Linked DNA regions of Sus scrofa. The protein of the gene in region 3 interacts with the protein of the main gene of each other region in a pairwise test. Links are inferred from orthologs where the notes say so. Each region holds a gene or a part of one and is shown on either strand. Other genes may lie near its edges.

Evidence for each region.
Region 1: the proteins of CARD9 (region 3) and USP15 interact in binary tests that used the Homo sapiens proteins (3 or more experiments, as listed by UniProt). The two-hybrid records come from large-scale screens. The link is inferred for Sus scrofa from reciprocal best matches to the Homo sapiens genes CARD9 and USP15.
Region 2: the proteins of CARD9 (region 3) and PPP1R18 interact in binary tests that used the Homo sapiens proteins (3 or more experiments, as listed by UniProt). The two-hybrid records come from large-scale screens. The link is inferred for Sus scrofa from reciprocal best matches to the Homo sapiens genes CARD9 and PPP1R18.
Region 4: the proteins of CARD9 (region 3) and MFAP1 interact in binary tests that used the Homo sapiens proteins (3 or more experiments, as listed by UniProt). The two-hybrid records come from large-scale screens. The link is inferred for Sus scrofa from reciprocal best matches to the Homo sapiens genes CARD9 and MFAP1.

Annotation. Positions count from the first base shown.
Region 1 is NC_010447.5:27,061,279-27,066,246, reverse strand, and holds part of USP15 (ubiquitin carboxyl-terminal hydrolase 15), read right to left. Parts: intron 4,543-4,968; coding exon 4,384-4,542; intron 4,305-4,383; coding exon 4,080-4,304; intron 1-4,079. UniProt on the Homo sapiens protein: Hydrolase that removes conjugated ubiquitin from target proteins and regulates various pathways such as the TGF-beta receptor signaling, NF-kappa-B and RNF41/NRDP1-PRKN pathways.
Region 2 is NC_010449.5:23,211,563-23,216,530, reverse strand, and holds the end of PPP1R18 (phostensin), read left to right. Parts: intron 1-2,257; coding exon 2,258-2,468; intron 2,469-3,836; coding exon 3,837-3,856; 3' UTR 3,857-4,725; downstream 4,726-4,968.
Region 3 is NW_018084833.1:1,341,072-1,346,727, forward strand, and holds the start of CARD9 (caspase recruitment domain-containing protein 9), read left to right. Parts: upstream 1-2,361; 5' UTR 2,362-2,911; coding exon 2,912-3,255; intron 3,256-3,569; coding exon 3,570-3,769; intron 3,770-4,051; coding exon 4,052-4,189; intron 4,190-4,741; coding exon 4,742-5,046; intron 5,047-5,124; coding exon 5,125-5,304; intron 5,305-5,389; coding exon 5,390-5,533; intron 5,534-5,656. UniProt on the Homo sapiens protein: Adapter protein that plays a key role in innate immune response against fungi by forming signaling complexes downstream of C-type lectin receptors.
Region 4 is NC_010443.5:127,750,672-127,754,770, forward strand, and holds part of MFAP1 (microfibrillar-associated protein 1), read left to right. Parts: intron 1-1,362; coding exon 1,363-1,522; intron 1,523-4,099. UniProt on the Homo sapiens protein: Involved in pre-mRNA splicing as a component of the spliceosome.

The DNA of each region.
Region 1 (4,968 bases), on a different chromosome or scaffold from region 3:
TGAATACTCTTAAACATGTTCAACTCCTACATTCAACTGGTTCTTCTATCTAACTGCCACCCTGACACATACCTTAAAAGTCCCCTGTCATTTGTCAGTGCAAAAGCTTCCTACCTGGTCTTAGTACTTCTGATTTAGGCATTTCTAATCCAATCTTTCCACTAGCCAGAGTATTCTTTCTAAAATACAAATCTGACAATATAATCTCTTTACTTAATAACCTTACATGGTTCCCTCATTCTTTAGGATGAAGTCCAAACTTCCTATCTTAGCATTAAGGTTCTTTGTGATCTAGCTTCTGCCTACCGTATTATTTACTTATAGTTTCCATAAGCAGACCATGTTCTCTTTTGCCTCAGCCCTCTCTTGATCTATAATGTTTTATTCCCAACCTTCACGTGCTTAAAACCTAATGATCCCGAGTTTCTGTTGTGGCTCAGTGGTAATGAACCAATGAAGGATGTGGGTTCAATCCCTGGCTTCACTCAATGGGTTAAGGATCTGGAGTTGCTGTGAGCTGTGGTGTGGGTTGCAGATGCAGCTTGGATCCTGCGCTGCTGTGTCTGTGGTGTAGGCTGGAAGCTGCAGGTTCTAATTCGACCCCTAGCCTGGGAACGTTCATATGCTGTGGGTGTGGCCCTAAAAGACACCCCTTTCCCCCAAAATAACCCTAGTCATCCTTCAGGATTTAACACAGGTGTCATCACTGGTTTGAGGTTATTCCTTCTGTATGCTCCTATAGCACCGTCAGAGCACTTTTCACACCATATAAGCTTCTTGAGAACAAGGACTAGGAACACCTTTGTAATTCCAGCACCTTGCAGAGTATGTGAGTCCAATTCCTAACACATGTTTCAGTTCAACTACTAATAAACTTCTATGATTTAAATCAACTTCAGTGACAGGAAAACTCAAGTAGGCTAACCTAGTTAACTTCCTTTTCCTTTTGAGCTGGTTAAAGCATAGTGTTAATGAGGTGATTATTTTGGATTTGAGTTGTTACAGCCTCCAAGTGGAAAAAAAAATCCAATTTCCTATGCTGACCATGGTTCTACTATCCATACATTTTTATTGCTGGTCACCAAAATAGAGGTAAATTAAAGAAATCGACATTGCTGGAAAAATAAATTAAAACCCAAATTATGGGAGAATAACACAAACCTTATGGGCTAATGTGTAACTTGAATTCAATCTGCCTCTATATAATACAGATTATATTACTGGCATGGGAAAGCACTATTTTTGGCAAATGAGTGTAGAGAGACAGTACATTAATTTTTAGATTTTTTACTCATTTTCTAAATACTCCTCTTATTTCCTTATACTTATTGGCATATATTTGTAAAGTTACAAACTAGAGAGGTAAGGGTGTAGTTTAATACTGCTATACTTTCTCTCCTTTAAAAAGAATGTTAACAATCCTATACTTATAAATAAGTGAATAAGTGAGTAAAGGATGTAATTTTAGAAGTATGTTCATATATTCCCTTGGCCAAAAATAAAAGCAGGTGTTTATTAATCCTGCTCATAGATAAAGGCAAGTGCCAGGTCTCTCTTGCTCTCTATAATATCTTCAGCACTACGGGATCAAATACTGACAGGAGGGTAGCAGATTTAATGAGTTCATGAAGGAGACATATTAAACAGACAGCAAAAGCAGTGGGTGAAATCTGCATAACTGGGTACATGACCAGTCTCTACTACACTTATTACTTTGAATGAAAGGACTATATTTTTTATTAATTCCTCATATTCTGGGTAAACTCAAACACTTGATGGTAAACTCAAATATTTCCATTAAATGAATGGTAAGATCATAATTTTGTCCAAAGCATATACCTTTCATGTAGATTTTATGAATAATGCTATGGACTGAATTGTCTTCTCAAAATTCTTATGTGAAGTCTTTTTTTTTTGCCTTGTTGTTGTTGTTGTTGCTATTTCTTGGGCCGCTCCCGCGGCATATGGAGGTTCCCAGGCTAGGGGTTGAATCGGAGCTGTAGCCACCGGCCTACGCCAGAGCCACAGCAACGCGGGATCCGAGCCGCGTCTGCGACCTACACCACAGCTCACGGCAACGCCGGATCGTTAACCCACTGAGCAAGGGCAGGGACCGAACCGGCAACCTCATGGTTCCTAGTCGGATTCGTTAACCACTGCGCCACGACGGGAACTCCTTTATGTGAAGTCTTAATCAATGTGATGATATCTGGAGACGGGGCCTTTGAGAGAGAGTTTAATGAGATCATGAAATTCACATTGCTGGAAAAATAAATTAAAAACCAAATGGGGCCCTCATGATGGGATCAGGACCCTTCTAAGAAGAGACAACAGAGAGCTTGTGCTCAACACTCTCTCTCCCCCTCTCTGCTGTCTGAGGACACAGTAAGGAGGAGGCCATCTGTAAATGAAGGAAGAGAGTCTGTACTAGAAACCGCCACACTGGCATTCTGATCTTAGATTTCCAGCCTCTAGAACAGGAAGAAAACAGATTTCTGTTGTTTAAGTCACTCAGTCTATGGCATTTTGTTACACCAGTCTGTGCAGAATGAAGCAACTAACACACTCTAACAAACTGCGCTTCTATTTAGAACCTTCAACTAGGACCTTTAGTAAACAATCTTCTAAAGCAGGAGCCATGTCTACTTTGTTTACCAGAGCTTTATACTCAGTAGGTGCCTAATACATATTGAATGAACAAAATTTCTAAACACCTCTAAGTCCTGAGGGTTGGACAAAGATTTACAAAGTTTTCAAATTCTTTGAAATCTTCAAAGAATTCATGGTCTAGGGGAGAAAAGTTAAAGTAAACCAAAGGTCATAATAAAACCTGGTAAGTGTTATAATAGAATTTAGGGGAAAAGAAGGAGATAAGAAATACTTTTACTAGGGGGGGTCAAGTGTCAAAAAGGACTGATTGATTAATAAAGGGAGAGAATAGTGTTTTGCTCCCTAAAATGTAAAATAATCCAATTATGACCCTAAGCAATGGAATCAGGCAGACAACTGATACTCTCAACAGTTAAAAGGTAAGAACGTTGGTGAAACAAGTCCCCCCACCTTCTTTAAATAGCCACAGCTACTGCATTATGGAAGTTCCCAGGCTAGGGACTGAATTGGAGTTGCAGCTGGGCCTACACTACAGACACAGCAACACTGGATCAGAGTCACAGCTGTGACCTAAACTGCAGCTTGCAGCAATGCTGGATCCTTAACCTACTGAGGGAGGCCAGGGATTGAATCTGCATCCTCAAAGAGACAGTGTTGGGTCCTTAACCTGCTGAGCCACAAGGGGAATTCCTGAAGCAAGTATTTTTAGTATAACTAAATTTATGTTTCTCTTTCACATTCTTTAGATGCCTAAAAATTACAGGTATTTAAATATTACCATTATTTTATCATATCATGAATCAAAATGTACAGTCCTATTTTCACTTCCATAGCCACTAGGAAAAAAATTACAATTAACATTAAAGAAAGTTCAAGTTGGGAAATAGGGAAAATAACACTACATTATTAATCTTTGTAAGCTAATATTCATACCAACATTGTTAAGTCAAACCACTCTCATTTTTCTTTGATAAGAAAAAGCCTTTGAGAAATTTTTTTCTACATGACAAATAATGATACTCTGCACACTGCTCACCCTTTCAAGATCCTGAAAAGTTGTACTGATTTCCAAAGTATTTATCTTATAAAAATCTCATGCAAAAAAGCTTAGTTTTATCTAATTGTGTTTGAGGCATAAGGACTCATCACAAATTTTTCATAAAAATAACAAATGCCAAGAAAATAATCATTTCTTGGAGTTCCCGTCGTGGCGCAGTGGTAAACGAATCTGACTAGGAACCATGAGGTTGTGGGTTCGATCCCTGGCCTTGCTCAGTGGGTTAAGGATCTGGCGTTGCTGTGAGCTGTGGTGTAGGTGGCAGATGCAGCTCAGATCCTGCATTGCTATGGCTCTGGCGTAGGCTGGTGGCTACAGCTCCAGTTCGACCCCTAGCCTGGGAACCTCCATATGCCATGGGAAGCGGCCCTAGAAAAGGCAAAAAAAAGAAAAGAAAAGAATCATTTCTTACCTGCATAGGTTTGGTAAGTGGATCCATTCTAACTAAATAAACTTCCAAGGTACGTTCTTTTTTCATGGGCAATGGAAGTGTCAGGTAACAAAAAGGATCAAATGTTACTGAAATCTTAGCACATTCAGGACAAACTAAAGTTGATTTAAAAAGGCCATGAAATATATCTACAATGATAGAATCATTTCTTTTTAAATGGTTTTCCCAGGCTTCTTCAGCAACTACCTATAAAGAAAACAGACACATATTACACAGAGGTATCACATTATTATATCAATGGTGACAATAATATGGTTAAATTTACCTTATCTGGCCTTCCATCAGCATCTTTTAATTGTATATATGGTTTTTTCCTAATTCTATTCAAATCCTCATGCAGTCCATCTAATAGGAAAGCTAATAGTTCTTGACAGTCCTGCTGCTGGTATCCAGAGAACTGAGGTGCAAAACGTCCTACCTGAGTCTGTAAGAAAAACAAAACCATAAAATCAGTTCCAGGGACAAGACTGATTACAAAAATATATACTTGACTTTCATTTATAGATTCCATGTTTGTGAATTCAGCTACTTGCTAAAATTTTACTTATAACTCTCAAAATCAACTTGTGGCATTTCTGCAGTCATTTACAGATATGATGATTACATATGGATAAATACATGTAAATAACTGCATACCTAAAAGCATTTTAAAAATGATAAATAGAAAAGAACAGTTGACCTGAGGAGAAAACAAGGAGAAAACACAGTACAGTTTTGTACTAAGGATTGGGAAACACTAAACACTATTAAAATTCCGTAATTTTTTTGAGTCACTGGAAAAAAAAGACAATGCTCTCATTTAGTTTCTGTGTGTAAAGAGAAGATAATCTCATAGAGATAAAAGGAATAT
Region 2 (4,968 bases), on a different chromosome or scaffold from region 3:
CACAGCTTGTTATCCCAAAAGGCAATATAAAATGAAACAGAAAGGGGTTCCCAGAAGTTTAGGTAAAACTGTCAGCAGTAGAAGTGGTTCCTTTTGGAAGTTGGGATATAAGGGGCCTGGTTCTTGTCACTTGATTCTGCCAGCCAGCTGTTCCACAGACACAGACCGGGGCCCACTGGGTACAGGCTGGACTGCCCCCCTCCCCCGTGTTCCCCCAGTGTTGATCTTCTGTTGAGACCTCATCTGACATCTGGCTGAGCCCTTCCTTACCCACTGTAGCAACTTCCACACTTCTATTGACAGAAGGCACAAGAAAATTCTCTGGAAGGTTAGGTTAGGAGGTGGTTAAAAAAATGACAGCAGGGACAAGTGGAACCTGGAGGGCCAGGAGGTAGGAGGAGCAAATATGACAACTTTATAATAGTATGATCCAGAGAGAGGGAGCCATTGGGATATTTGGAGGAAGAGTGTTCCAGGCAGAGGGAGCAGCCAGTGCAAAGGCCCCGAGGTAGGCGTGCCCTTGATGGGATTGAAGGAATTCAGGCCAATGTGGCTGGAGTGGAGGAGGATACCCAAGAAGTGAGTGGGGAAAGTCACTTTGGGGCCACCCGTTGGCCTGTGACCAGGCTCTGGCTTTTGCTCCCAGTGAGACAGGGGCCAATGCCACGTTTGTATCCAAGGAGTGACACACACAGTCTCTGAGTTCCAGCTTCCCTCGGGGACCTTGGTGTTAGCAACCATCTGTCCAGCCACCATCCTGGTTTCTCTCTTTTCATACCCAAGTCCATGCAGAGATTCAGGGATGCAGGGCCCCCGCCCTGAGTTTCCCAAACAGATGCCAGAGAAAGCCTGAGTAGATCATCTGGACCTTTCTGAGCAGTTCACATGGAATCCTTCTGTTGGTCTCCTTAATCGCTTTGGCTCCCAGAGTTAATCCCACGCTGCCCCTTCCCCCTGAGCTTCTTAGGAGGGCAAAGGGGAAGGGTAAAAAGGTAGTGAGAACAGCTGGGGCTCGCCTGCTCTCGAGACAGTATGTTTACAAAGGATTTTCTGCCCCTTCCAGATTCCCCCTCTGGTCCTTTGCCTCTGTCTGCATGTCCCCTCTCATGCCCTCTCCACCCCCATCCCATGTTTGCGTGGACTTTCCTCTCTGCCCCGTCACCTCCCCTTTCAGGGACGCATTTTCTCCCTGTGTTTTGGGGGAACGTTTCATTTCCTCTGCACTTGTCTCTTAGTCTCCTATCCCCTCAGACCTGAGACCCTTTCCCGTGGTCACTCCAGCTGGAGGAGAGGAGTAAGGGTGGGAGGAGCTAGTGTCTGGGGTCCTGGGTTTCTTTCACAGCAAGGGGCTGAGAGTATGGAAACCAGTGTGTCTGTCTCGGAGTTCCCTTGTGGCACAGTGGGTCAAGGATCTGGTATTTTCACTGCAGGGGCTTGGGTTGTTGCTGTTATAAGGGTTCGATTCCTACCCCAGGAACTTCCACATGCAGTGGGTGCAGACAAAGAAAAAAGAAAAAAAAGTGCCTGTCTTTTGCTTTTGCCTAAGACTCCCTCCCTAGTCAGAACTTTCCTGCCTAGCAGACACAAATCTTACCTCCTCCAGGTAGCTGTCCTGATTGCTCCCAGGGTGCCCAAAGACTCGATTCTTGCGTTTCTGTTTTGTGTGTCAGCTTTTAAGGGCTGCACCTGCAGCATATGGAAGTTCCCAGGCTAGGGGTTGAATTGGAGTTGCAGCTGTCAGCCTACACCACAGCCACAGCAACGCGGGATCCAAGCCATGACAGCGACCTACACCAAGGGCATGGCAACGCCTAGTCCCTGACCCACTAAGCGAGGCCAGGGATCGAACCCACATCCTCATGGGTTCTAGTCAGATTTGTTTCCTCTGTGCCATGATAGGAACTCCCCAAAGACTCAATTCTGATCACAGGACTAACCTCCACGTCTTTTCATTTCTTTTTACCTTTCTGCCTCCCACACTCTAAAGAGTGAGAACCTTGGTCCTGTGTTACTCACTTCTGCCACCCAGGCCCCTGCCAAAAGCTCAGGCCAAAGTCAATGTTTTTGAAACGATATGGCTGAAGAAGGAAAATCTGAGATTAGAGAGCAAGTACTGAAAGGAAAACTGGTTTCCAGAGTGACTGGGGAGGCCAAAGGCAGCAGAGGGCCCAGATCCAGCCCCCACTCCCCATCCTGCGCCCGCTGCCCTGCCGTCATCTCCGGGCTGACCTCGCCTCCCCGCTTTCTCTCCCCTCAGCTCAAGATCTCCTTCAGCGAGACAGCCCTGGAGACCACGTATCAGTACCCCTCCGAGAGTTCGGTGCTGGAGGAGCTGGGACCTGAGCCTGAGGCCCCTAGTGCCCCCAGCCCCCCAGCGGCCCAACCCGACGACGAAGAGGATGAAGAGGAGCTGCTACTGCTGCAGCGGGAGCTCCAGGGCGGGCTGCGTACCAAGGCCCTGATAGTGGGTGAGCAACAGGCTCTGCCATCCCGAGGGCGCCCCCTGGTGTTCAGAGAGGGCACTGCGGCCCAGGAGGACGGGGAGGATTTAATGCTGGCGCTTCCAGGGGCTCAGCAGGGCTTCTAGCCCAACTGGCTGCTTTAACAGATGGGGAAACTGAGGTCCCAGTAAACGAAGCGCACATGCGGTCTCCAGATTTCCAGGACTCTTGCTGAGCGCTATAGTGTGGTTAAAAACATAAGTGTTGGATCAGGCCTAAGTTTGATTTCCATCCTGTCTCTTAGGGAAATCACCTCACCTCTGGCCTCAGTTTATTATTTGTGAAATGGGGTTAATAATAACTACCTCTTGGAGTTCTCGCTGTGGCACAATGGCTTTGGTGGTGTCTTGGGAGCGCTGGGGCGCATGTTCGATCCCTGGCCCTGTACAGTGGGTTGAGGATCTGGCTGTTGCTACAGCTATGGGTTGGGTCTCGACTGCAGCTCGGATCTGATCCCTGGCCCGGGAACTCTGTATGCGGTGTGGCAGCCAAAAATGAAAACAAAAACAAAGAACAAACAAACAAAAACTGCCTCCTGGGAGTTCCTTTTGTGGCTCAGCAGAAATGAATCTGATTAGGATCTGTGAGGATGCAGGTTCGATCCCTGGCCTCACTCAGTGGGTTAAGGATCCAGCATTGCTGTGAGCTGTGGTGTAGGTCACAGGCGAGGCTCGCATCTGGCATTGCTGTCACTGTGGTGTAGGCCGGCAGCTGTAGTTCAGATTCGACCCCTAGCCTGGGAACCTCCATATCCTGCAGATGCAGCCTTAAAAAGACAAAAACAAACAAAAACCTTCCCCCTGCAGTTGTTGAGAGGGTTAAGTTTTGTTTTTTGTTTTTTGTTTTTGTTTTTTTGCTTTTTAGGGCCACATCCGCGGCCTATGGAGTTTCCCGGGCTAGGGGTCTCATCGGAGCTACAGCTGCCTGCCTACACCACAGCCACAGCAATGCAGGATCCAAGCCGAATCTTCAACCTACACCACAGCTCACGGCAATGCCAGATCCTTAACCCACTGAGCAAGGCCAGGAACAACCTTGACCTCATGGTTCCTAGTCAGATTCCTTTCCTCTGCACTACGACAGGAACTGACATACCTATGAACTATGGCTGGACATCGACTCTCCTGCGGTCACTGTGAGATTAAACAAGTTATGAGGATGGCTGGCACAGAAGCTAGGCTAAATGAGTGAGGGGTGCTCTTCCTGGTAGGAACAAGCCCTGTGATTTGGAGAATACTGTGTGATTTCCTATGTAACAGCTGGCCTTCAGTATGGGGAGTGGGTGGGGACTGAGACCTTCACTCATTCTCTGTCCTTATTGCCTCCTCTCCACAGACGAGTCTTGCCGGAGGTGACCCTCTTCCAACGCAGGCCTGTACCTCCCTCCTTCCCAGAACTGAAGATCCTGGAGCCCAGAAGATTCAGAGCAGACAGACCCTGAAAATGAGCCTGGCAGGGAAGGGCAACTAACATCTTCCAACTCGCTTTCCTCATCCTGTTTCTGGGGGCAGAGGCAACCGCTCAGTTTCCACCCTGGGCAGATGTGCTGGTGCATCCGAGGTGATCCAAAGTCCCCCTTCATGTCCTGGGGAGGAGTAGAGAGCTCACTGGGGTGGGGAGGCAGCACCCTCTCCATCTCCCGGGCAGGGTACAGTCTCTTCACAGACTCCCCCCACCCTCTTGGGGTCTCCGGATTTAAGCACCCACCTCCCTGGGAGTCCGGGCCTCCACTCCATTCCCAGAGAGGGCCTGGCCTCCTTACTGTTCCTTAGGTTATTGCCCCCTTTGTTTACTGCCCCTGCCTCCTCTCTGGACCACAACCTGGTTTACAAACCCCATCAGCCCCCAGCGCCCACCTGCCAAAGTCCCAGGTTTACAAGCCACGCCTCCTCGGAGGGCCCTGTGGAATCTTCTCCTCTGCCCCCTGCTGTCACCTCCGTGGGGTATGGCTTCCTCCACTTTTGCTCAGTATTACTGTGTCTCAGTTTTCCCCAAGAGGGAATGCTGGGAACCTTAACTCTGTATCCTCCCCACCCCCACCCCAGTTATTTAATTCTGTTCCTCCTAGTGGTTCACGAGTGAATTGAATTGCGAGGGTGTGGGGTGGATCATGAGGCACCTCAACTCTCTTCCCGTTTCTCCTTCCTTCTCCATTGCCTATTTTTGTTTTGTTTTGTTTTTGTTTGTTTTTTAACTTTCCATAATAAAATGGAGCTCTCTCCGACTCTCCCGCTACTTCTCTTTCTTTAGAAAAAGCATATGCGGAGTTCCCGTCATGGTGCAGTGGAAACAATCCCACTAGGAACCATGAGGTTTCGGGTTTGATCGCTGGCCTCGCTCAGTGGGTTAAGGATCTGGAATTGCCGTGACCTGTGGTGTAGGCCAGCAGCTGTAGCTCTGATTCAACCCCTAGCCTGGGAACTTCCATATGCTGTGGGTGCAGCCATAAACACACACACACACACAC
Region 3 (5,656 bases):
CTGGGCCTGGAGTAACAGGTGGAGGGAGGGGACAGGGAGCCTGGGAACGTGGGTGCGGAGGCTTGTCTGGGGTCAGCCTGTCTAGAGCCCGCTAGGCTCCAGGGCCAGTCCCCCGCGCGGCCCGGTCCATGGACTGCAGGTGGGTGGTAGGGCCTCACCCCACCTGCCCAGGCCCACCAGGCAGAGGGGGTCCGAGGGGTCAGGGCACCGTGCCATCAAGTGATCTGTGTTCCAGGATTGCCCTAGGGCGACACCCACTGCTGCGGCCAGGAGGAGGTGGGCCCGGGGCCCCCGCTGACCCCCTGACCCGCGGAAGAAAGGCCCTACCAGCAGCGACCACGTCATGACGTGCACATCAGAGCAGCGGAGGGGCAAAGACATGGGGGGGCTCCCTGGGGGGCAGCAGCTGGGTCACCGCCATGGCACAGATTCAAGTCCTTGGCCTAGGAACTGCCCCAGCCGCAGGTGCAGCCAACAAATAAATAATTTTTTTTGAAGTCCTGTGGGGTTTTTTTGGCTGTGCTCATGGCACGCGGAAGCTTTTGGGCCGGGGACCAAATCCAGTCCACAGCAGGGATGAGGCCTGATCCTGAACCCCAGGCCACCAGCGGCCTTCCTGGAAATGCCCTGTTTTAATTAGAAGCCCGCCGCAGGGCGTATGCAGGCCTGCTGGGAGTTGGCCAGCGGGCCCTTGGGTCCACACGCCAGCGCAGGGCCGGGTGGGCGGGCGGGCCTGCTTCCTCTGCCGACCAGACCACGCGGGCTGGCCTGGGTGGGTCCCCAGAACCAGCGGCAGCCCGGCGGCCCTGGCCAGTGCCCCCTTGCAGGTGTTTCTTTGGCACGAGACCAAGCCCCTGTGCCCTCTGTCCCCTGTGTCCCAAGGAGCTCAGCTTCGGGCGCGTCACACCCTCCCAGGCACTGACTTCTGGGAGCCTCGTCCTCCTTCCCAGCTGCGTCCTTTTCACTCTGGAAATTTCCTACACACGAAACGAGACAAGGGTGCCCAGCGCGTCCTGCCCCTGCTCCCGCATACGGCAGTCACCGGGGCCCCCTGCACCCAGGTGTGACGCGTCACACAGGCCGCAGGCTGACGCCCCCTGGCAGGGGCGGGGGGTCCCTTTGCACCCGGGACTCAGTTAACCGAGTCCAGTTTTTCTCGCGACCTCCTCTGACCTGTGGGCTAAGTTTTCTTGTTCAATTTCCAAATGCTGAGTGAGGGTCCCGACGTCTCTGTGGCTGCTGCCTCGCCCAGAGCACACGACGTCTGCCTGAGCTCTAAGCCACGGGAACTGGGTCGTTGAGGGCCCGGTACCAGCCTGCCTGCTGGGCATGTAGGAGGCGGTGGCTCAGTCTCCTGCACCAAGTCCCCACCTGGCTTTCGCGGCTCCCGCAGGGGGCTCCCCATGCCCAGAGGGTGATGTCAGCTCCCCGGAAGGCCAGGCCACCACGCAACCCAGCAGTGCCAGGTCTGTGCCGGGACGCCCAAGGTTTCTGCGAAGTGGCCCGCTGACCATCCTGGGCAGAAGGCAGAGAAGCCCCCACACGGCCTGAGGCGTGAGACCCCACAGGAAGGGAGCTGGCCAGGCGGGAGGGAAGCTCCTCAGGAAGGGGGAGCCGGGAGCACCGGCCAGGCTCCCATCCAGCCCGTCCAGCCGCAGCCCCTTCGCGGAGCTGAAGCTGGCAGCTCGGTTCAACTGGCAAAGCTCCCCGGGCAGCGCGGTGGCCTGGGGATTCCCCAACCTGGCCAGGGTGCAGCTGGCAGCCAGGGCTGGGCTCCAGGCTTTGCCCGGCCTTCTGCAGCCCTTCTGAAGTGCTGGGGTGGGGGGCTGCTGTCACTGTCATGTGTCCTGGTGGAGAAGGGGTGGTCCCAGGAGGGGCGGGGCCGTGCCAGCCACAGCAGGCCAGTGTGCTGCGGGGCGCCTGTGCCCGGGGCCCTGTTTTGGGACACCACACCGCCCCCTCCTGGGACCAAAGTGGGCCAGCAGGGGCTCGAGCTCTGTCAAGCCTTGGCTCGCACTCCCCACTCCTCAGGGTCAGGGCTGGGCCTCCAGGGCGGGCCCTGGGCCCCGCGGCCAGCCCTGCGCTGGCTGGCAGGGCTCTGGGCAGCCTTCCTGGGGAGCCACTTCCACTTCCCTCCCCCGCCCCCCAGGCCGCCCTGCTCGGGCGAATCAGCAGCGGCCGCAGGGATGGTCCCTGCGGGGTTAACGCCAGGAAGTGCGCTCCCTCCCGCCCCACCCTCCCTGGCCGGCAGCCGCGGCAGCTCCCACCGCTCACACACCGGCTTGGCGGCCCAGGCTGGCCGGCGACCGGCCACTGCACAGGTGCCTCAGGAGGACCCCAAGGTAGGCTGGTCTGGTGCCCTTTCGGAAAGGCGGCGGCAAGCCCAGGTGGCTCAGGACTCTTGGGACAGGGAGAGGGATCTGGCGTGAACACCCCAGAAGGGCACCAAACGGCCTCACCTCTGCTGCCCCGTCCCCCTCGCAGCCACCTGGCACGGTCGCTTCGGTGGAATGCACAGCAGGTCATCGTCAGGCGTGGGTGCTGTGGACTTGAGGCTAGAAAGGCCGCAACAGGCCAGGTCCAGAGACCGGCCACCAAGGTGCTGGTGATTCCTCTGGACGCCGCGCCTGTCGCTAGGCGGGCGGGCCGAGGGCGGTGGGACCCACAGCCACGGCCTCTGGGATACCACGGCCTCTGGGACCGTGCCCCAGCCCCCGTGGCCCGGGAGCCGGTGTTTCCCAGGCAGGTTACAGGCTCAGTCCCAGGTGTTGAGGCGGGGTCTCTGTGCCCCCCGACCCCTCTCCCCCAGGAGGAGGCATGGCCACATGGCTGCTCCTGCTCAGCCCGCCCCAGAGCGTGGTCCCTGCCCACCCGCTGCTGGAAGGGCTAGCAGAGAGCAGCTTCCACGTAGATGGTCCCCTGTCAGGGAGCCAGCATCCCCGTGCTCAGCACTGTGGCCGAGGAGATGGGGAGAGCCCGGGGCCAGCTAGTGCCCAGCACCCAGAGCCTGGAGGAGGCGCGCAGCCGCGTCCTGGGCTGCCTGGGCGACACAGCTGGGCCCTCCCCATGTGCCCAGGGCCCTCCGGTGGGCTGCTCTCAGTCACGCTTCCTGGAGGGCACCACGTCCCTGGGCCTGACCGGAGCGGGCCAGCTGGGCAACTGTTGCATCACCAGCCACAGGAAGCAGAGGAAGGGATGGGAGTGGATGTGCGGGGGAATGAGGAAGTCCCGCGTGGCATGGCCTGCCGCCCGCAGGTGGGGGGCGCCCCAGCCGGGCGCGGGCTGGCCGGGGGTGGACCGGGACCCCTCCCTCATCTGCCGGGGAGGTTGTGCCAGCGCTCGGCCCAAACAGCTCCTGCTGCCCCCTCACCTCCAGGGAGGGAGGCAGCCTCCCTGCCCGCCCACAATGCTCGGGGAGGGGGATTCTCCCTGGGCACAGGCTGGGGGGGTAGCGTGGGGCAGGGGCCCAGGGTGACGGGGGCGGGGGAGAGGAAGCCCAGAGCGGCCAGAGGGCGGGGGCAGGGCAGGGCAGGGCGGCGGGCCAGTTGACGGGCCCTCTCTCGGAGCAGTGCGCCCGCCCGCACCATGTCCGACTACGAGAACGAGGACGAGTGCTGGAGCGGCCTGGAGGGCTTCCGCGTGAAGCTCATCTCCGTCATCGACCCCGCCCGCATCACGCCCTACCTGCGCCAGTGCAAGGTCCTGAGCCCCGACGACGAGGAGCAGGTGCTCAGTGACCCCAGCCTGGTCATCCGCAAGCGGAAAGTGGGTCAGTGCCGTGGGCGGCGGGCTCTGCCCACGCTCGTCCCTGTCCCCGGGAGGCCTGGCCGGCTCGGCCCCCGCCCCGCCCCCCCCATCACCAACCTGTCTGCCTGCGGCCGGGGCGCCGCCATGCACAGCAGAGGCCCCTGGGAGAGCCACACGAGGTGGGTGGCCGATGGGGACTGGCCCAGACCCACTCTGCGGCCACCCCGCGGGGCCTCGAGGGGCCACACGCGTGCCTGGGGACGCCGGCCGCCCCGGCCCCCAGCCAGGCCCATCTGGGTTGCAGGCGTGCTCCTGGACATCCTGCAACGCACCGGCCACAAGGGCTACGTGGCCTTCCTCGAGAGCCTGGAGCTCTACTACCCGCAGCTCTACAAGAAGGTCACGGGCAAGGAGCCCACCCGCGTCTTCTCCGTCATCATTGGTGAGGAAGGGCACCGGGCCTGGGGACCCAGGGCCCGGACTCAGGGGCCGGGGCGCCCCCCTGACCTGGGCCCCTAACGGATAAAGCGTGCATGCGCTCTGGCGGAAGGATACCGCCCGCCTGGGGCCCGCCCGCCCGCTCTCCTGCTGCAGCCCGGGGAGGGGGCAGGGGCCGGAGGGAAGGGGGACCTGAACTCCAGGGCGGGAGCAGGGGGAGGGGAGGCACAGGCTGATTCTTGGCTCAGAGCCCCCCTGCCCAGAAGACCACCTGACCCCACTAAAACCCTGCTCCCGAGAGGCCGCGGCAGCCGGAGAGGTGCCGCTCTCCTGGTCCTGAGTCGTGTCCCCTCGCCTCTCAATCAAGATGACCAAAGTGGACAAAGAGGGAGGGACACGTGAGCCCCTGGCTGCACCGTCCTGGGAGGGGCTGGGGACGGGGCCTGCAGGTGAGTCAGGACCAGACCCCTGGGCCGGGCTCCCCGGGCCGCCGGTCCTGGAGCCGCGCGAGATGCTGGGCTGCTGGGCGCGCCGTCTGATGAGGCCCGGTCCGCAGACGCGTCTGGGGAGTCCGGCCTGACGCAGCTGCTGATGAGCGAGGTGATGAAGCTGCAGAAGAAGGCGCAGGACCTGACGGCGCTGCTGGGCTCCAAGGACGACCTCATCAAGGAGCTGCGCGTGAAGGACGGCCTGCTGCGCAAGCACCAGGAGCGCGCGCAGAGGCTCAAGGAGGCCTGCGAGGCCGGCGGCCGCGAGCTCCAGCGCTGCAAGGACGAGAACTACGACCTGGCCCTGCGCCTGGCCCGTCAGAGCGAGGAGAGGGGCACCGCGCTCATGCGCAACCGAGACCTGCAGCTGGAGGTGCCTGGCGGCGGGGCGGCCGGGCGGGCGGCGGGCGGGCGGCGGGCCCCCGGGCTGGGCTGACGGGCGGCCCCGCAGATCGATCGGCTCAAGCACAGCCTCATGAAGGCCGAGGACGACTGCTCGGTGGAGCGCAAGCACACGCTGAAGCTCCGGCACGCCATGGAGCAGCGGCCCAGCCAGGAGCTGCTGTGGGAGCTGCAGCAGGAGAAGGCGCTGCTGCAGGCCCGGGTGCAGGGCCTGGAGGCCTCCGTGCAGGTGGGGCCAGCGGGGCGAGCACAGCGCAGCCGGGCGGGGGGCCTCCAGCCCCGCCGCCCCGCCACCCTCTCCCTTGGCGCCACAGGAGGGGCGGCCGGACCAGAGCAGCCCCTACATCCAGGTGCTGGAGGAGGACTGGCGGCAGGCGCAGCGGGACCTCCAGGAGCAGACCCGCACCGTGTTCTCCCTGCGCAAGGACCTGCGCCAGGCCGAGGCCCAGCGCGCCCGGGTACGCGGCCCGCGGTGGGGGAGGTGGGCTGGCCTCTCAGCGCTGCGTCCCTCCCGGCCCCTTCCTGCAGGCGAGGCCCGGCTGGCCGGCCGGCCCCGCCCCGAGCGCGTGCTCCCCAGGCTG
Region 4 (4,099 bases), on a different chromosome or scaffold from region 3:
TGGTTTTCTGTAATAGAGTGCCAGCTGATACTTTCCTGGCCCACAAGTTACTCACTGTGATGAGTTATCTATTGTATAACAACCCAAACCAAAATTAAGTGACTTGGAATGATTATTTCTCACAATTTTGAAGACAGACTATGCAGTTCCCCTGCTGGTTTTACCTGGTTCTCTTAGGCAGTTGAATCCAGCTGGAAAATTAACTGGCTTCACTCATATGTCTGATAGTTGGTGCTAACTATCAGCTAGATGCTTCACTTCTTCTGTAGGCTAGACTGGTTTCCTTTCATAGTGGTTTCGGGGCGGCATTCCAAGAGGGCAGAGGTAGAACTTAGCAGGGTCTTTCAAGGCTGTGAGGGGAAGAATCTGTGGCATTTAAATAATCCACCACCACTCACTGTGTTAGAACAGAGTCATTTCTGAGTTGCATCACCCATGCTTAGACATTACTAGGAATGAGAGGATAATCTCAGATTACACAGGGAAACCCTCAATAGAAACCTCTGTCCTCAGCCTGCAGTTTCGTAAGGTTTTTATCCTGAGCTTCAAGGAGTCCACGTACCCTTTAATACTGTATGAAAAATGATGTGTATGTTTGCATTTCTCTAATAAAAGGGATGTGACTCTCTACCTCCAAAAAAAAAAAAGGTTAAAGGCACTGCAATCTAATTAGTGATGGTTGATCTTTGGTTTGGGACAAGTAAGCACACTACCAAAGAAATATCAAAAAATTCTTAATGTTATTTTGTTCAAAATGTTAATCTTAATGTTATTATGTTCAAAATGTTATTTATTTATTGTCTTTTGTCTTTTTAGGGCCGCACGCGTGGCATATGGAGGTTCCCAAGGTAGGGGTCTAATCGGAGGTACAGCAGCCAGCCTATACCACAGCCACAGCAACGCCAGATCCAAGCCATACCACACCTCACAGCAATGCCGGATCGTTAACCCACTTTGCGAGGCCAGGGGCAGAACCCGCAACCTCATGGTTACTAGTCGGATTTGTTTCCACTGCGCCACAACAGGAACTCCAACACAGTTATTTTAAATTTTGATTTTTCTTTTAAAGCTAAAAAGGCTTTCTCAGGAAGGGAAATTAGTAATGTCATAAAATCAAGCAACAATAGTATATTGGAACCTCAAAAAGGCTGGAATCAATTTTTGGGAGTTTGCAGTACCAGGTTTTGCAAACATAATAAAGACCACCTCACCTTCTTATTTATTGAGCTCCTGATCTTGATTCCTAACAGGTAATGACTGGAGTTAAATAATGCTTAAAAGGAGGTGGGACCGGGTCATGTTCAGGTAAAACTGCGTCTGTCTGAAGCTGGACTGATACTGATAGTTTTGTTCTCTGAACAGGCTTGAGAAGGAGAAAGCAGAAATTGAACGCATGCGAAACCTGACTGAGGAAGAGAGGCGAGCTGAGCTTCGGGCAAATGGCAAAGTCATTACCAACAAAGCTGTTAAGGGCAAATATAAGTTCTTACAGAAGTATTATCACCGGGGTGCCTTCTTCATGGTAAGTGAAAAGAAAATGGGAAAATGGGGTAGTAGGAATAACTCAGAAGCTTTGAATGCTTTTTCCCCGTCAAGAATAAAGTGGCCCTGGGATGTGACCTCCACTTGCCAGTGGTCTGCGTTCTCATTTGCTTTTTGTCTCTGAAGAATATGAAAGCACCAGAGAGAAGCAATGGCAATAGGATTTTAAAAACATCAACTATTCTCTTTTGGCTCCAGCTCTCTGAAGAAGGAAATGATGTAATAGAGGAAATGAGGAACTGACATAGTGATCTATATAGATACTAGACTATTTAGGTCCCCCAAATCACTTAGATATCATTATTCATCGTTGAGTGCGAAATCTTGGTTAGGAGAAAACCATGATCTGCAAAGAGCTTTACATTAACTCCTGTTTGAGTGCAGATGTTTAATTCACTTCATTTTGAGATGGCAAAGTGACTGAGTCTAACTAACCCAGAAAATGGTCAGTTATCTTACATTATGTGTCATGCCATCATCTTTGTTTTTCATAAAAAGGCCAAGGTCAAGATAGCAGGCTGTTAACCCTGTATAAAGTGAAAAGGACTTCTTCCAAACTATTTGGATTAGCACTAGTGATAATTCCTCAATAGAGTTAGCAGGAAAAGGAATGGGAGGATTGATAGCATTTGTTTCTCTAATAGCATGTGGTTTGTTAAATTATTTCCTGATGTTAAAAGACTTGGTATTGGAGTTCCCGTCATGGCTCAGTGGTTAACGAATCCTACTAGGAACCATGAGGTTGCGGGTTCGATCCTTGGCCTTGCTCAGTGGATTAAGGATCCAGCATTGCCTTGAGCTGTGGTGTAGGTCGCAGACACGGCTCAGATCCCATGTTGCTGTGGCTCTGGCGTAGGCTGGTGGCTGCAGCTCCAATTGGACCCCTAGCCTGGGAACCTCCATATGCCACGGGAGTGGCCCTAGAAAAGGCAAAAAGACACACACACAAAAAAAGAGTTGGTATTGAGTTCCCCTTGCAGCTCAGCGGTAATGAACCCAAATAGTATCCATGAGGATTTGTTTTTGATCCCTGGCCTCACTCAGTGGGTTAAGGATCTGGCACTGCCCTGAGCTGCGCTGTAGGTCACAGACGCAGCTCGGATCCAGCGTTGCTGTGGCTGTGGTGTAGGCTGGCAGCTATAGCTCTGATTCAACCCCTAGCCTGGGAACTTCCATATGCTGTGGGTACAGCCCTAAAAAGACAAAAAAAAAAAAAAAAAAAAAAAAAAAGTTTGAATCAAAAAGTAGACTAGCTTTTCAAATTTTGTATAGAAAACCTTAAATATCCCTACTGCAGATACCAGTAAAATTTTTAAATTTCAGCGGAGGAGGCCTTACTTCCATCTCTTCAAAATCAGTTTCACTCTATCTGATTAGCAGGAAATATTTGCTTATTATATAGTTTTCTAGCCTATGTGGTTTTCTAGATAGGAGTCAGTGGATTATGGATTATTTCTTGTACTACTTCAGAGTTGTAAAATATTGCTTAAGCATTTCAGCTCCTTTAATAATCAAGCTTCCTAGAGAAATAGTGCATTGCTGACTAAGCTACATTAGGAAGGCTGTATGTGAAAGTCTTTTTGGTGCAGATACTCACATATCAAAAGGATGACATCAGGAGATGACATTTAAGATGTATAGACTTTATTTTTTATTTTTTTGCTTTTTAGGGTCACACCTGTGGCATATGGAGGTTGCCAGGCTAGGGGTCGATCGGAGCTATAGCTGCTGGCCTACGCCACAGCCACAGTAATGCCATCTGCGACCTACTCCACAGCTCACGGCAACGCCAGATCCTTAACCCACTGAGCAGGGCCAGGGATGGAACCCACAACCTCATGGTTCCTGGTCGGATTCATTTCTGCTATGCCTTGACAAGAACTCCAAGATGCATAGGCTTTTTGACATTCAGTGGTAGGAAGACATTCCAGGTGAAGGAACCAGAAGGAATGGAGACAGAAAGTAACATCTGTAAAGGCAAGAAGAGGTAGATTAAGGCTTGACTACTACACAGAGTAATTGTGCTTATTTATTTAGTAGAGAACCATTGAAAGTTTTTGAGCAGGACAGAGGTATAATGAGTTGTATTTTTCCAGGAGTTCCTGTCGTGGTGCAGCAGAAACAAATCTGACTAGGAACCATGAGGGCTAAGGGTCTGTCGTTGCCATGAGCCGTGGCGTAGGTTGCAGACACAGCTGGGATCTGGCATTGCTGTGGCTCTGGCATAGGCTAGCAGCTACAGCTCCAATTCAGCCTAGCCTGGGAACCTCCATATGCCACAGATGTGGCCGCAAAAAAAAAAAAAAAAAAAAAAGAACAGAATTAATCCAGTGGGATGTGTAAAATTGATTGCAGGGAAAAAGTAAAAACCTAGGTAACAGGAATCTAGGTAATTGAGAGGATGTTAGTCCCATTAACAGAAAAGTTAAGTCAGGAAAAGACTGATTTGTAGAAGTTAGGGAAATGGTTTTCACTTTAGATGTGAGTTTGAAATCCCAACAGAATATCCAAGCTAAGATACGTACTGGGCAGAAGAATCAGGATTGGAGATTTGAGA